Daphnia pulex: one gene and its partner. The protein of the gene in region 1 interacts with the protein of each later gene in a pairwise test. Links are inferred from orthologs where the notes say so. Each region holds a gene or a part of one and is shown in the gene's direction. Other genes may lie near its edges.

The links.
Region 2: the proteins of protein daughter of sevenless-like (region 1) and growth factor receptor-bound protein 2 interact in binary tests that used the Drosophila melanogaster proteins (3 or more experiments, as listed by UniProt). The link is inferred for Daphnia pulex from reciprocal best matches to the Drosophila melanogaster genes dos and drk.

The regions. Positions count from the first base shown.
Region 1 is NC_060019.1:10,841,974-10,852,999, forward strand, and holds protein daughter of sevenless-like, read left to right. Parts: upstream 1-2,640; 5' UTR 2,641-2,970; coding exon 2,971-3,048; intron 3,049-4,016; coding exon 4,017-4,145; intron 4,146-4,211; coding exon 4,212-5,137; intron 5,138-5,213; coding exon 5,214-5,596; intron 5,597-5,677; coding exon 5,678-5,793; intron 5,794-5,919; coding exon 5,920-6,171; 3' UTR 6,172-7,047; downstream 7,048-11,026. Other genes in the region: calpain-D-like, read right to left, coding at 1-87, 150-580, 693-1,014, 1,088-1,342, 1,419-1,461, 1,538-1,763. UniProt on the Drosophila melanogaster protein: Essential component for signaling from various receptor tyrosine kinases such as Sevenless, TORSO and DER. Required for photoreceptor cell and wing development.
Region 2 is NC_060028.1:9,113,636-9,119,376, reverse strand, and holds growth factor receptor-bound protein 2, read left to right. Parts: upstream 1-1,352; 5' UTR 1,353-1,748; coding exon 1,749-1,826; intron 1,827-1,913; coding exon 1,914-2,011; intron 2,012-2,082; coding exon 2,083-2,202; intron 2,203-3,387; coding exon 3,388-3,553; intron 3,554-3,630; coding exon 3,631-3,804; 3' UTR 3,805-4,443; downstream 4,444-5,741. Other genes in the region: protein brambleberry-like, read right to left, coding at 1-144, 203-388, 451-579, 653-961; 39S ribosomal protein L46, mitochondrial-like, read right to left, coding at 4,578-4,999, 5,059-5,195, 5,257-5,458, 5,526-5,613.

The DNA.
Region 1 (11,026 bases):
AACACTGCTAAGGCGCTCAATAGCCAGCAGTCACCCAGGATTCCTTGAGATATGTCGGATGGCAACGGGGTACGAAAAACAGCCCACCTGTAAATGAATTGTGATGAGCGAACGTGATTGGTATGAATTTGAACATTCCATTTTCTTACTTGACATGGGAAGCAGCGCTGCTAACTATTTGACTGGGTCGGAGCCATTGAACCCCTTCTTGAGTGCTGTTGTGCAAAGAGCGTCCAGTAGGTAGAAATGAATCGTCGACAAATTTATCGCCACTGGTTCGACAAAAGCCAACAATACGCTTCCATTTGAGACGCGCTTGTTCCTCTTCCGTGTGGCGGAGAGAAGCGGACGGCTCACTTTCATGGCGCGAGATGGCGGCCGGAGCAGGTGGCGAAAGAGCTGTCAGACTTCGACTGGATTGGCATATTTCACAGCTGTACGATTTAGACTTTTTGTTGTGAAATGTACAAGCAGAACATTGCCATCCTCCCATCGCAGAATCGGGAGTACGCTTTGATGACGGAATGTTTCTCGCTGGCGAAGAAGGAATCGGGCTGCTGCCGATGGTCGGTGTTCCAACCTGTTATAAAATTAAGTTAAACGATAATCGATAAATTTCAGAAAATAAGAAACGCTACAAAATATTAAGGATAATAAGATGAAAACTATATACAATTGCAATATCTACGTACCTTTGTCTGGGACTGCGGAGTCATAGCGGTTTTACATGCTCTGCATTTGGAAATCGAGTGTGAGTTAAGCAACGTGCACTGAGGACATGACCAGGTGTCTTTTTTCGTGGGACTATGAGCAGAGCCTTGACTTTCTACTTTCTTCTCGCTGTACAGTTGTGAGCAGCTACACGCAGAGCAAACATTTTCCCCGATTGGATTGATTAAAGTGCATTTTTTGCATGTCCAGCTCGCGTCGTACTGATGATTAACGACCACCGTACCGTTCTTCCTACCATTCACGGCTGCCTCTTTGGAATGGCTGTCAGGCACAAACAATTCCCTTTTGTTAGTTTCAAGTAAAAAAGTTATGCTATTGCTCATAACACTATAGAGTTTAAAAATACAATACATACTTGTTGTCTGAGTCCAATCCTGATGTTCCATATTTAACTATAATGGGTTTTCGTGGTAATGTTAAGGGGATATTGGGAGAGCGAGGTGCTTCACAAACCTCACAGCAGTGGAGATCAATAAGATTTGAAAATGTGCAGCGTTTGCAAGACCATGTTGAGCTATTGTTGTTTGGCTGTTGAAGAGTTTGATTTTGCTCTTGACTAGCTGAAATTCCTTTAGGTTTGCTGGTCATGCAAGTCATGCAATCTTGAGCACTATAAAAAGTTGGTATATCTTGTCTATTAATAGGTTCTAACAAAAAGAAATTGATTGATGATTGTTCAAACTAACCTTGCCACATTCAGAAATAAGCAGTGAGGGCAAGTCCATTTTGCTAAGAATACACAAGTAATAATGGAATAACAGAGATTCCCACCCAGCAGATGATAAATTATTAAAACGTTAAATACCTGATGAAGAACTAGAGTAGGAGACAGAATGTTTAAGTTGTGAATGATTTTTCGAGGACCGATTGTTTTCCTCAAAGTTGACTGGTGAACACATTGGACGGTCTTCTTCTTTTTCTATTGTACAAGATCGTTTTGCCCCGCAATTGAAGCAACAGCTCTTTTCAGTTGGATTAACTTGTAGGCATATCACACATTTCCATTGCAAGACTGAGGCAATCGTACCCATTTAAAACTAATCCGATTTTAAAAAGCCAAACATCAAGAATTAAATAAAACGCACAAGCCAAACATATCGACAAAGAAACTGTGAGATCCAGACGAAATTTCCCTGTCCGACTGACAGCCGCGATCAGCTGATCCTGAATCGATCGACCTGCCCTCCTGAGGTATTTCGTCTCTGCTGGTCTCCCTTCTGTTAACTGAAGCGGCAGCCAATAAGGTGTAGGATACACTTGCTGAGTCGCCACTTGACATGAATTCTTCATCACCACCCAGTGCTATAGGTGATGCAGATAAGGAAAAAAAAAATCGTTCGTGAAGTTGAAAACAAATATCGCGTGTGGCGTTGCGCGCGCGTTTGTTATCGAACCTGCGGGGCGGACCGAGCGTGAATGTGGTAAGAACACGCATAGACTTTTAGGTGCACGCCACTATAATAACAACTATACTTTTATTTTTTGACAGTAGCATGTTACCTTCTTTTTCTTTTTTCCGAATAAATTTCTTTTTTTTTAAACTTTGGTTGTATGGCTTTAGAGAAAACAGGTATTCGCGCACAAGTGTTGCTTAGATTAAATGGAACGCAAACTTAAATACAGGATCTATCCTATCCAGTTCCATAATCATGTTCTAATCGATATTTGTAAATCAACAATAGAAAATCGACCATTCCCGTCGAGCGTGTTGAGTCGCTGACCAATGAATTTTTCAAAATGCAAATTAATTTTGAATAGGTTAGGCCACCTAGCGACGCGTATTCAAACTTTTTCCTCCTATCAACGCCTACGGAGGAAAAGTCGAAAACGCTCCCCAAATAACAAATAAAAATGCATTAGCATTTTCTCAAAGCGTTTAGTAAAACTATTTTGATATGAAAAACTGATTGGTTTAACAAAATTCTATCGTGTTGTGCATACAAAAGTAGATAAGGAAAAATGGAAAACTTTGGACGCTGTAAAGAGAGAATAGACGTCAGGTATTTGAGATCTGGCAGCGTCATGTTAGTCATCCCATCCATCCCAGCTCACTTGTGTTTCTCCAACTTGGCTGTGGAATTTGAGCTGGAAAAATGTCGTAAAAAGTTCTTTTTCCCCTTTGTTGTTACCCGTTTTCCGTCGATTGGATGGTCGTCGTCTTGTCAATAGAATCGACGCCTTAAATATTAAGTGCAATTGTTTTGTATAGTTTTGTTTCGCTCAGTTCTACAAGGCACCATGGCTTTGGCCAACACGGAAATCGTTCATGAAGGCTGGCTTGTCAAGTCTCCGCCCACCAAACGAATATGGAGAGCTGTAAGTGTAATTTGATTCAATTTTAATTAAAACAGGTTACTCATTATTGAACAGTTGCTCTTTTTACCTTGATAAAACTCCATGGTTCAGAGTGCTAAATAGTAAATACTATTATCAAGCTTCTGTTGGCCATTCTCTCTGTTAGTGGGTCACGATGAAGCATTTCTTTTCCAATCATTTTCCCATTATTATTTATCTCTTTGTTTCTCAAATCATAGATGCCAAATTATCCTTTATTATCCCATTTGTGTTATGTGTGGAGAGTAGAAATTTAGCTGATCCCAGCATTACCATGGCATGTACTCGGTCCCTGATAAATCTTGGAATTCTCTGTGTTTTTTTAAGCGTTGGGCTGTATTGGTTGCTCAACATCAAGATAAGACTTGCCATCACATTTTTCAGAGTTTACCTCAAGCTTTATCTGGAGATTCATAAACTTAGATAACTGCTTTTTAGCATTTCCCCCCCGAGATAAAAAATTCCTCCAAAAATAAATTATGCAGGAGCTGTTTTGTTATCAAAATGGTGCATGGTTGTTTGTGACACTTTGTGGGCTGCCACCAATCGGGCGAGTTTTTTTTTCCCGGTTTCTGTGGTGAACGCTGCAACGAAATTTATTCGATCTATATATTTTGTGTTTTGTTTTCATCATCTCGATATCTGTGGAAGAGAGGAGGATGTTGTTCCCACGGTTTTGGTAGATGCGCGCTTCTCTGACCTATGACCGACTCTTTGTAATCGGATCTGTTGATGGCATTCCCCTCCCCTCTTCGTTCAACTTAGATATGATCGAATTTCTTCTCCTCTCCCCCCTTTCTTTTTTTATTATGAGAATGTTTGCCGATCTCGTTCTCACTCTACGACAACCCCCATGCGAGGAGACCCTTCTATTATTATACAAAAATGTCTTGTGTGCCTGGCCCATCAATTTCTTATCCCTTTTTTTTCTTCTTCTTTTGGTGACACAGAAATGGCGGAGAAGATGGTTCGTGTTGAAACATTCTGGCGAGTTGCCTGGACAATATTTCCTTGAATATTACACGGATCGAACATGTCGAAAATTAAAGGGCAAAATCGATTTGGACCAATGCGAACAGGTGAATTGACTTTTTAATTTAATTTGTTCAACATAATTTTTAAAATTATGTTTTTTCTTGTAACAGGTGGATTCCGGGCTGACGATTGAAAGTAGGAAGCAGCGGTATGCCCACATGTTTGACATCCGCACACCGAAGCGCGTCTACTTTTTGGCGGCCGACAGTGAATCAGACATGAATAGCTGGGTGGGTTGCATCTGTCACGTCTGCGGTCTCAAGGTGTTTTATCGCGAAGATGAAGAGACCGGTTCGTCTGTGACTCTGACACGGCCCGTCCCTAACGCGTCATCGACAATGGCCACCAGCGGAGTCCATTCGGCCATGGCGAGGACTTTGCAAGTGAGCCAGTTGTTGGAAGACACGCCACCCACCTCGCCCACTTCGCCGACCGGCAGTTCGGGCCCTTATTTCCCGTTGAGCGAATGCCTTTCAGGATCGCGCAGTCTCGTCTTTCAAGAAGCTATGGGATCGGTGGGCCAGCCGTCGTCGGCGCCCGTGACTCCAGCGCCGACAGCGCGAGGCTTAGCTCTCGGAACTCAAAGTTTACGCGGCCGGCCTCAGCGCGAGGGCTGGGACATTTTCTGCGACCAGCCCAGACAGTTGTCGTCGCCCGGCCACTCACAATTGGGTCAATCGCAGCAACTGCAGCCCGTCAGTTCGTCGGCGCGCAACGACCAAGGAGTTCACGAGCAAATTCGTAGCTTTGAGGACAAGTTTGCGCACTCTTTTAAGAGACTGCAACCGGCCACTGGCGCCAGCAAACGACCATCAGTTCCCCAATTGATGGGCAGTCAGAAGTTTGTGCCGCCGCCTCGCCCGCCCAAACCACCTCATTTAATCGACCAGCCTTCGCACAATTATCTGAATCTGGAACAGCTGCAATCGCCAACTTCCGTCGCTCCTGGTGGCAGATCGCACAGTCGCAGCAGTAGCCCACGCTCTCCATCGTCGACATCGCCTCCTTTACCTACGCCGACCAACGCCGATTCCTGGTAATTATTCAACGATTAGTAAATGAAGCGCAGACCTTGGTTAATTGATTGTTTCATTTTTTGGGGAAATTTTAAGGTACGATTTCCCGCGATCGCACCAGGGTGACCACGGCAACGACGGCAAGACGGGCAAGGATGCCCAGAGACGGCACTGTTACTCGAACGCTGCACCTGGCGAATTGTCGTCATCGGCTGTGGCTGCAGCGGCTGAGATTTTCACGTTCAACAACAACGCCGTCACGGCCGGGTTGTCTGCCGCTTCGGCCATGTCGCCCAGCGTTTATTCGAATCTGGCCAGCCCCTTCCCTTTGGCGAGTCCAGCACTCCTTCCCATGACCCCCTTTTCTCCGCCTTCAGTCAACCGAACACTCAAGCCCAAGACGCAATCCTCTGGTGCGGCCGGCGTCGTTGATGGACCCCTTCCACCGCCCTCAGTCAACCGCCAGTTGAAACCCAATCGTAAGTGGTCTCGTTTGAGGTCTATCGATTTTTTGGGGTGTTGTTAACGATGCCAATCTTTTATTTTCTCTCTCTTCTCAGGTCCCGTTTCTGGTGTCGGACAACACGCCGATTTCCACGGAAGCAGTTCAGACGATGCTGACGATCCATCGAGTCGGGGCAGTACCCGACCCAATTCCGCCCATGACGAGGAGCAGGTAAAACATTTTCCTCCTTTTTTAAAAAATTAATGAATTAACTCGCTTTGCTGACCAACTAAAACTAACCTTGGGTGGTGTCCGCGGTTTCTTTCCTTTTTTTTCTCATTTGTGTCTCCCCTACAGATCTACTATTTCATTCAGGGCTCGAGGGTCATTAGCGCTGGCCGTCAGCTGGACGATATCCAGTATTTGGACTTGGATTTGGAGTCTGACTCGTCTCTCCAATCGCCCAAAAGTCCCGAACGGGGTCACCATCACCAAAATCACCACCAGGCTTCGTCGACTGTCTACAAGACTGTCGACTTCATCAAAACGGAAGCTTTCAACCGAACACGTCTCACCGTCGAGGAGCGTCGCTCCAAAAAGGCGCAATAGGCACTCTCGAACCACCGCCACCTTTTTTGGATCGTTCAAATGTCTCGAGAAACATCCAAGACAATGACTCAATTCTTTTCAGAAGAAAAGAAGAAAACAAAAAGTAGGGAACACACGCACTCGGCACAAAATCATATTTGACACACATACGCGCGCGCACCCCCACGGAGAGAGATTAAAAACAATTCTGTGAGATTATTTCCGTTGTGTAAAAAAGACAATCAAAGATGATGGCACACACATATACAAGCCTTGTCGGCCATGTGTTTTTTCGTCAACCCCCTCCCCACCCACATTTGACTCCTCCCCATTTTTCCTTTGACAGATGGACTCGAGCCATTCCCTTTTTTATGCACGTGTATGTGTATATATATATATACATATATATATATATAAAAATAATCATTTTGGCCAATACTTCGACAACAAATTCAAAAAAACTTGCCCGAAGCTTTTCTCCTTACAATATATAAAAGTTTTTTTTGTTTAACGCAAAAACAAACAAAAAATTACCAACAGGATTGTTGGAGTGTTATTCCTTTCCCGTTAATCTATTTTTTTTTTAAATTGATGTTCACTTGTTTCAAGGGCGGCGATTCTCGCGATTACAGCAAAAAGAAAAGGGCAATTTAATGACAATCGAAAATGTGGGGCAGAACAGCATATTCATTCTTTAAAAAAACAATTCTTTTGATGATGATTATTACTTGTAATTTTGTTTGTTTTTTCTTTCTCTCTCTTTTGTCTTTTGCATTTGGATTTCTTTTGAAAAAGAAAAGAAGAATCACGCTTCGTCTTTTATTCTTGTACGTACGTTTTCCCCAACACTTTGAGAGATTATCTGTAAATACAGTTCTTTTTTTTTTCTCACTTTAATTCATTTTTCTATTTCAGTTAACCTTCACCGCAAGTATACAAGATGAAGGTGTCGCATTGCGCGCATGATCGGCTCACCGGCATCTGTGTATGAATCCCGTCTGGGATATTTAATTCGTTCGTCAGCTTTCACCGAGGGGGTGCGGCGATTGATCGGCGGGAAAACAGAAACCGCTGGTGCGTGTGTAGGTTACAGACAGACATAACACTGCCAGCACGTCGTCCACGTCGTCGTCTCGGTCTAAATATATATAACGTCAGACCTAGTACGACAAAATGCGTGTGCGCTGCTTTTCTCTTTGTAACTGGATGACCTCCACCATCTTTTTTTCGTCTTCTCCTGTACCCCGTCTGCAGTTGTGCCAACCTCCTATAGGATCCGCTGGAACAGTCACATGTTAGCAAGGGATTTGTGTCCGACTTGGGTCTATACTATATTCCAGCGTGTTTTTAGAATTTTTCATTTTGGCAGCAGAAGGAAATGTTCAGCACCGAAATAATCAAATGTGAGAAATAGAAATGAAATGTTTCCAATATTGGTTCAACTCGTCAAACACGACACTCACGCAGCAGCACATAACAGTTGAGTCAACACACGCTACATGGATAGAGAGAGAGATATTGCAGCAATTTTGTTTCTCTTTTTTTCAGTATATTTCCCCGTGTCTGTGTACAATCTCCACGAGACGAGGTTATTGGCGTCAATCAAATTTTTTGAAAATTCCCGCGCTTGACGGGTTTCGATAAAGACGGGCAAATTGCGGTTGGAAGAAGAGCCTCCGCCAATGCATCCTAATGACGTATGCAAATACACAGACATAAAATAGCTGGTGGGGGTATATAATCAGACGTTGTTCATTGCCATCAAAACAAATTCTTCAGATCAAGAAAACACCAAACTCTGCGCAATTTTTCCGCTTCCAGGCGATGATTTCTCTCCGTTCCAACGAGCCACCCTGGAGCTCGTTATTAGGGCGGGTTTCGTGCAAATTTTTACTCGGATCTTGTCCGTCCAGGGTGGGCTTGATGTAACTTATCGAGAAGAACAATTTGATGTGAAATATATATCCCGATTTGTCCATGCGGTTTGGTTTTAGGGAAGGGGTTGATTTTCTTTGATTTTGGCGGGAAGTGGGAGGCGCGGAGGGCGGATTTTTAATATCGATATCTTAACTTCTTAAGCGTGGTTAATTAGAATATTTGTGTCGTCTGCTTTCCTTTTGTTTCGCAGTTTCGAAAAAGCTAAAAGAGACGAAGGTTCAGACATTTTTTATCATAGAAAACTGAAGGGATCACTGGTTTGATGGAAACGTGTACGTGGCTGCAAGAGAAATTGCAGAACAAAATAAAATGTGGTCGTCGTGCAAACTTATTTGGTGTCGTGACTCGTGGCCATGCTCTCCACTCCATGCTGTTTCTCAGGTAAATAAAACTAGAATACGAAATACGAATGGAATGATTTTGGAAGCTCATTAGAAGAGTTCAACCTTTTCCAAATTTGTGAAATGTTGGTGCCCAACTACAGTGACTAGCATCTATCATGTAATAATGCTTGTTGTCGATGCATGACAGAGTTTGTTTGCTCCATGTATAACCTTTACCTTTGTGTAGATTTCAGTACTGAGCCAGCCATCGTAACTACAAGATTTGCAAGTTTTGACACTGACCCGTCATCACCAACAATCTCAGCATCATTAATTGGGTAAAGATTTTTGTTGCTTTTATTAACCTGTTACCTGCTGTATATAAATGGTGCCTAAAACTTGCATAAAAAGGTACTGCCAGGTATTACATGTAAACCTTAAGCAATCGTGTTTATTAACAGTAAGGGGATAACCACTGTCTTCTTTCTAACTTTTCCCAAGTTGTTGTCTCTGCAATATTTTTTTCGTAACCTGTTTTGTATTTTTTGATTAGATAAACAGCTCCTAGTTTAATTGGGAAAACTCTGTCCTCGTGTACACCCATGTGAAGGTGAGTGTATACTCACGATGACCCCCTTATCCTATCCTGACTGGCGTCAACCGTGACTTGACTGAGGATGGAGCACTTGTGGTTGCCTGGCTGTGGATTTCCTCGGTTTTAAGGTAGAAACAATGTAATCCTGTTCTTCCTTTTTATCTATTTGGTGGCGTTATGGTTATATAACGTTACGGAATACGATTATTCCTGAGCTAGGCCATTTGACTGGAACTGTTTTCTCTTGCTGTTTCTGTTGTATCAATCAGGGTTAATTAAACAACTCATTTGCAGAGCGACTGCACGGTATCAGGCTTGTTTTATACCTCACAACTTAATCTGCGGGTAAAAAATCAAATTAAAAAAAAAAACTTGTTTAATTTTAAAAACCTCAACAATGTGCAAAAGTCTCGTTTGAATTCAATTCAGCGCCATACAAACCTTCGGGAATCGAGCAGCTACTGGCAGCAGCGCCATCACGTTGCCAAAGTTGAAACATTCAATTCTACAAAACTAAATGAATGGAATTTCATTCCAACGTCTCGACTTTTTAGATTGAATTACACATCACGTGGCTTGAGGCACGCGCTGTCATAACTCCCGCGGGATTGAACCCAATTCGGTTTCACGTTCTATACCCAATAGGAATCGTCCAAAACAAATTATTATGTTCCATGTTGTGTGCTGTGTGTTTACATCTTTTTTTTTCCCCGGCTGCGCATATGGCTTACGTAATAATGTGTCGGTATTACTGTGACGCGCCGCTTTTATTTGACACCGGCTGGCGCGGCTTCAGTTTTCCCCCGAATAGTTTTTCGAGACGTGCATCGCATGTCCGTGTTAAGTTTCTCAGCATACCTACGTATACATGCTAACAATCAATGTTAAAAACCAGAGCTCTACAAGAGCTGCTATCCCATCGTCTGTATTTAGTGCGGCCATCGGGACCGGTTAGACTCGATTTCATTTGTACCGTTGGGAATTCTGTTACGAATGTTTTTTTTCCATCAAGCTGTCGGCGCATACCATTCTTTTTACGGATTTACCTATCTAAATCACTCGATAGAAATGGTTGTTGTTGTACTACACCTTTTTATAAATTAAAACAGTTTGTTTTGTGGGGAATTCTTGCTCTTCTTTGTAACTCGGTTGATCAATTCGAATTGTCAATGGCGGCAGCATAGAGCTACGCCAGAATTTCATGGAAAAATCATTTCATTTGATGTAGCCAAAGCTTATATTCAATACCTCTCATTTGTCATGTACGCTATTTGTATACATCCTTGTTATTAAATTGATACGAGCGTTGTATAACGATTTCAAATATGCGTCTGTATAAAATATCAATCGGAGCTAATCAGCTGACGATGTTTTTTCTCTTTTTTCAAAGTCGATGTGATTTTATTTTTTCGATGCTGTGATGCTTGCGGTTAAACCCACACAGAGAACCCATTCACAAGTTGACCTGAATGTCACTATCGCCATCTGGAGTTCATTTCTCAGTCGCTCCGGCTTATCTCTTCTTCTTTTTTCAACGTGACTTTTTGAGGGGCTATTTTATTTTTATGGCATCAGCATCTAACGGTATTTATTATACACACACGGTTGTATGGGTTGGCCTTATTTTTTTGGAAAAGATTTGAAATAACTTGATGAAATAATTGCGAAATAGATCCAGCGGGATGGACATCACCTCAATCTATGTATTAAAAGTTACACAGTAGTCAGTTATAGACAAGATGGATGCGACATTAGTCACGGATGTCGTCCGCTCGTTTGCTGACGTACTCGATCTTGTCCCTCGATTTTCTTTCAACGTGTGGCCGAGTGGTGGGCGCGACAACCGGAAAAAAAATAAGAAAATAAAAAGAATCTGTGCAAGTTTGTGCGGAGGTGTCGGGAGTTCACGCTGCCGGAACTGGCATTTAAAAATGGCCGGTGGTGCGTCACTTTCTCCCCCCGACTTTAATTCAATTCCTTCCTTTTTGGCATTTTGTTGGATTTTTTGAGCTGAATGGAA
Region 2 (5,741 bases), on another chromosome or scaffold:
TTCTCTCATTGTGCTGCTTATCTGTTGAGAAGCCAACTGCTGGGTAGCTTTCAGAAAGTCTTGTTGTTCCAGCAACTTTTCTTGACCTTTGGTCAAAGAAGTTAAAGTATCAGCAGCCAAAGATCCAAGTTCCTCTTGCTCAGCCTGTGAGGAAAAAAAAAGATACAATACAGTTGTGATGAAAATCAATAAAGAAACCAACCTTGAGCTCTCTAATGAATCCCAATTGTTGACTAGAACTGGCCATGAGTTTGTTGACTGTCATTTGAGTCAGTGCTCTAAACTGTTGTTGGCGGGCACCGTAGCACACTGATCTTGCTCTATTGGATAGAATATGGTAGGCATTCCAGGTGTCGGAATCCATGTCAGAAGTACATTCCCTTAAAGTCTAAAAAATATAAACTGGTTAGCTACAACTAGCTGAAGTGATACATTAATTAGAAAACTTGCCATTGAAGAGGAGCATGGGTAGACTCTCCGCCCTTCCAATCTTGATTGGCAGTTTAAAAGATTCACACCCAACTTAGACAAATCTTCCTCTGAGAGATCATTGCAGTCTTGCTTCAATTGAAGGATTAACTATAAACGAGTTCATTAATATTAATGAACAGTGAGATTGTACTTTGAATCAACATCAAAGTACTTTACTTACTTTATGCTGGCAAACATCCAGCTCGCTCAGACTAAGGTCAGTATATTTCTGTGCATCGGCAATGAATTTTTCATCAGCTACAGACAGCTCAAATGGAATATCAGACCTTGCTTGCACAGCACTCTCATCAGGTTCAGAAACTTCAATCTTATCATCTTCTTTTGCTACAGCCATAAGCTTATCAAATTGTTTTTCACTACTCAAAATGTTAAAAGGGGAGCTGTCTCTGCCTAAAATCCAACCTACTAAACTAGAATGACTACCAGTTCCTAGGAGAATTATGGCCACTAAATATAAAGTTATCTTCATTTTTGTAATAATCACAGTGCAATATAAGAGAAAATCATCTGACAATAATTGTATAAGATTGTAAGAGGGTTTGGTCGATAAAATTAGTCAAAAGGAACTGCACGTTGCTTTTCTAAATTCAAGTCCGGACTGGTCTGAATCTCTGGGTCGAGATTCCTTTTGAAAACCATTTGCATTTATTCAAATGAGGCAGATAACGTTGCCACATTGCTTTTTCCAAAAGAATTCGACGGAAATTTAAATATTTAAAATCTTAAAATATTCATCTATTATGTTGTATTATAAAAAATGTATATTCCTGTAATTGAAATAATATTTTAAATAATTTCAGTCATTTGGAAAAAAAATAGTTAGAAAAAATAAAAAACGTTTACAGGCACGCAAGCATTTACCTTTAAAATTCCATTGGGAGAAAAGGACTGGTGACGCTCGTGCGTCAAAGCCAAGAACTAAGTTGTTTCCCAAAATTATGGCTGTCTGGCTTTCGTCGGGCCCCGAAAACAGTGTATAGTTAATCAAACAATCGTGGATACGGATACGTCAGTTGATAGTCAATATTGTCAAACAATTTGTGGGAAATGCTATTCGTTTTTGAGTTTCGAGAAGTGTAATTCGACTTTGAACGAAGTCAAAACATTTTGGTGATTGGCCAACAACCGTTTCACTTGATAAACGTAGCCGTGGTGCACATCCGGCCTAGCCTTGAAAAGGAAATTCCTTCTCTGAAGCTTGTTTTGCCAAGAAATACTTTATCATCTGTGATTTCATAAAACGTGTTATTTTCGAGATGGAGGCCAATTCTAAACATGACTTTAATGCCACTGCTGAAGATGAGCTTAGTTTTCGAAAAGGGCAAGTTCTCAAGGTAAACCAAGCAATGATGCTTTCAACAGAATTTAAGGAATTTTTGCTTATAGCAATATTCTAACCTGTTCATTTGATTCAAATGTAGATTCTGAATATGGAAGATGATCTGAATTGGTATAGAGCAGAATTGGATGGAAAAGAAGGGTTGATTCCTAGTAACTACATTGAAATGAAAAATCATGAGTAAGCCTAGTTGAAATGTTTATGATAAAATAATGCATATTGATTATAACTTGTTGTTTTATTTTCTACAGTTGGTACTATGGAAGAATAACCAGAGCTGATGCAGAGAAACTCTTGGGCAACAAACATGAAGGCGCTTTTGTTGTTAGAGTCAGTGAGAGCTCACCGGGAGACTTTTCCCTGTCTGTTAAGTATGTTATCTAGTTCTTAAAATAACAATGTGATAGATTTTGTTTAGAAACATAGACAGTGTAAATCCTTAACCAAGAGCTCTAGATAGTTTAGAAATGCCCCATAGGAATTCTTCTACTATGTTTGATGTTATTATTTGCCTATTCTCAAATGTTGTTGAAATCTATTTGTGGCATACCAGACTACTTATCATTAGAACATCTGAATGAGATAAGTTGACATCTATTAACTAAGCTTGTAAGTCGTTAACTGCCTAAAACGGGAAGATTTCTCAAAATATTTATGTAGAAATAGCACATTATAAAAACATATTGAGAAATATCGCTTTGCATTCAGATATCCTGATTAGACGCTACACGTACATTTGAAGCGTGAAAAGAATTTCAAACATGCAGGCTTTCATCAGTGTAAAATCAAATATCTTATAATCTCGCTCTCCAAACTGTACGATACAAGTTCTACCTTACTAGGAAGACGCGTTTGAATAGAAAATTAATGAACCGAACGTACAGTTTATTTCTATTTCCCTCAAAGAATCATGGGTATTTGGTTTTCTGTAGAAATTTGATTTGATCACGCAAGAATTCTTTCCAAATGCAGTGCATGAGTCAACCTGATGACGCACACATCCGTTTACATTCCAATTTTATTCACTTCAAAGGTGGAATGAATCTCAATTGTCTATTTTGTTTTACCTTAAAAAAACAAAGACAGCTTGTAAAATTGGAACTCGTGCAGTGACTACCCTTTGCTTAAGTCGTGACTCGTGATTCATGAACCGTCAGTCCTACTGTTTTCAGTAATTAGTTTTATCCTTTTTGGTATTTTATTAGCCTTGTTAGGCGTGTCTAGGGTACATTCTGTTTTCTATCTGTTAGGCCTTTTCGTCAAGTTCCCTTACCACTGAGCCACCGTCCGTAATCAAGCAACTATATATGTGCCTTGAACCGGAGTTTTGCATCATTTTTAGTTTTTACAATTCTCTCATCGCCCTGCTGTGTTATTTATTCCTTCTTGAGGTTTTTGCCCGTTAAGTTGTAGGATGAGTGTGTTTTGTTTATAGCTAAGGAAGCCATCATCCTACTTCCTTGTAGTTCGAAATTAGTTTGAAATTTACACAATACTTTGTTACGTGCATTCTGTGTTAATAGGCTATTCTCTATTTTTTCTTTCTTGTCTCGCAGATGTGGCGATGGTGTCCAGCACTTCAAAGTACTTCGCGATGCCCAAGGGAAGTTCTTTTTGTGGGTGGTAAAATTCAACTCGCTCAACGAACTGGTCGACTACCATCGCTCCACATCTGTTTCTCGGTCTCAGGATATAAAGTTACGAGACATGGTGCCTGAAGAGGTGAGTTACCAGTTGTTCTTTTTTCCATGCCTTTAGGCTCAGGATTGACTAACAATTGTTGTGTGAATTTTCGACAGTTCTTGGTGCAGGCACTATACGATTTCACCCCGCAAGAACCAGGTGAATTGGAATTTAAGCGAGGCGACGTCATAACTGTGACAGACCGTTCTGATCAACATTGGTGGACTGGAGAAATTGGCGCCCGCCGCGGCCTCTTTCCTGCCACTTACGTTGCCCCGTATCATACTTAAAAGGCGAAGGCACTGTTCGTTCGTTTTCTTTTGCTCCTTTTCTTTTCTTCATAAATTTTTCTTCATTTTTTTTTTCTTTTTGTATTAAAGTGGTGCGTCCGTTCTTAAGACTCAAGTTATTTTTGCCGACTTCGAACCTAAACACATTACTAACTTTGATAACAAAACAGTAAAAGTGATGAACAGCTAGGATTGACAGGATTGCATCTCATTTCTCATTGAAAGCAGTTTGTAAAATTGCTTTCTTTTCAGTTTTTTTCCGTTTATGTTGTTCTAACCTCGATTTTCGACTGTATTTCCCCTCAAGCACACAGCTTTCGGGATTGCCATTAGATGTGGCTTTGGTCGAATAGTCATGTTGGAGCAATTTGTGTGGTTTTGATTGCGGAAAGATAAGTTAACTTATCCATAACGTCGACAACAATTACTGGGCTATTAAGTTTGCCCGTCATTTCTGTTGCTTCTTCTTATCTTATTGGCTCTTTTCCCTTTTTTGTCGACATTTTAAAGTGAATTTCGATTTTCTACCTATATCGATAACCTCTTCATAACTCTCACTCTTATGAACTAGCTTGAGACCATGCTATACTTGTACATCGAACAGTATCTTGATTGATGAAAATATAATGTGCAAACCAATGTTTTAGTCTTCTTCTCCGTCAGATTTAAAACTCTTACCTGTTGCGTTCATTGTTTCGTAATAGTAGAATGTGTAAGAGGAAAAAAATTTGTGTATTTAAAGATGCATCTAAACAAATACTATGTTTAATGAATTAATCTTCATCGATGAGAAATTTTCTTACGCTACGTAAGTATTCGGGCTCGAGACTGTTTGTAAGCTCTTCTCTGCCCAACCAATTATACTCTATGTCTGAACAAGTAGTGCAAGAAGAAAGCAATTGGGCTTTGAAGAAGAAAACTTTTGAACCGGTAAAACCAAGCTTTTGGCGAACTGACGACGGATATTTGATAGTATGTACTCCCCACGGAGCATTGCCCAATACTCGCACTGACGTATCAGGAGTTTTCACGTATTCTCTAAGTGCACGTTCTGCGGTCTCACGTAAGGTCTCCCCTTCCCTCCACCTACTTTCCGGAAGCTTCCAAACTTTCTTGTCTTTTTCTTGCACAACAAAAAGCAAATGCTTATCCAGCTTTCGATTGGTGGACTTCTGGTCTCCACTCAAATCTTCAGCTAGTTTACAGTAGGTCAATGAATTACTTGTTAGTCAACTTTATTATTTATATTATTACCTGTAGTCCTTGGGGCAGGCTTAAATTTTTGAAATTCTTCATTGCAAGCATCTTCAAAGTCTTGAGCTGTTTGCCTTGTTGCTGCATCTGGGTTACTTTCATCTTGAGTTCCATCTGCAGCCATTTTTTGTAGCTTCCTACAATTAAGAAATTATTCATATTAAAATTAAAATCTTTGATGGTATTTGAAATTATTACTTGTCTTCTTCATGTCTTAGTTCATGATTTGATTTGAGGCTTCTCATATTATCAAACTTCTCAATCATTTCACTAATTTGTTGTTCAATTTCGGTCATGGGAGGCACAATGATTGGTGTTCTTTCCAGACAAATTGCACCAAGAAGTTCCCATTTTTGGGGTGAAGAACTGGATGTAGAAGCACTCGACATTCTCAAGAAAACTACGAACATAAAATTTATTTTATCCATCAAAAAGCGTTAAAAAATGAATGATTTTAAGCTTTTTACCTTTTGGATTTTGATAGACTTTGTTAATTGAAAAACCATTCTTAACTAGTGATAGGCTACCTAAAGCATGAGATCGAAAGCAAAACATTTTTCTCTTGTATCTTATTTGAATAACTATTGATTAGTCTATATTAAATTCTGGCCACAAGGCCGGCACGGGCACAGTAAGAATTGTCAACAAAATCGGAAAATCCTCGATTCGATTCCGAGAGTCTT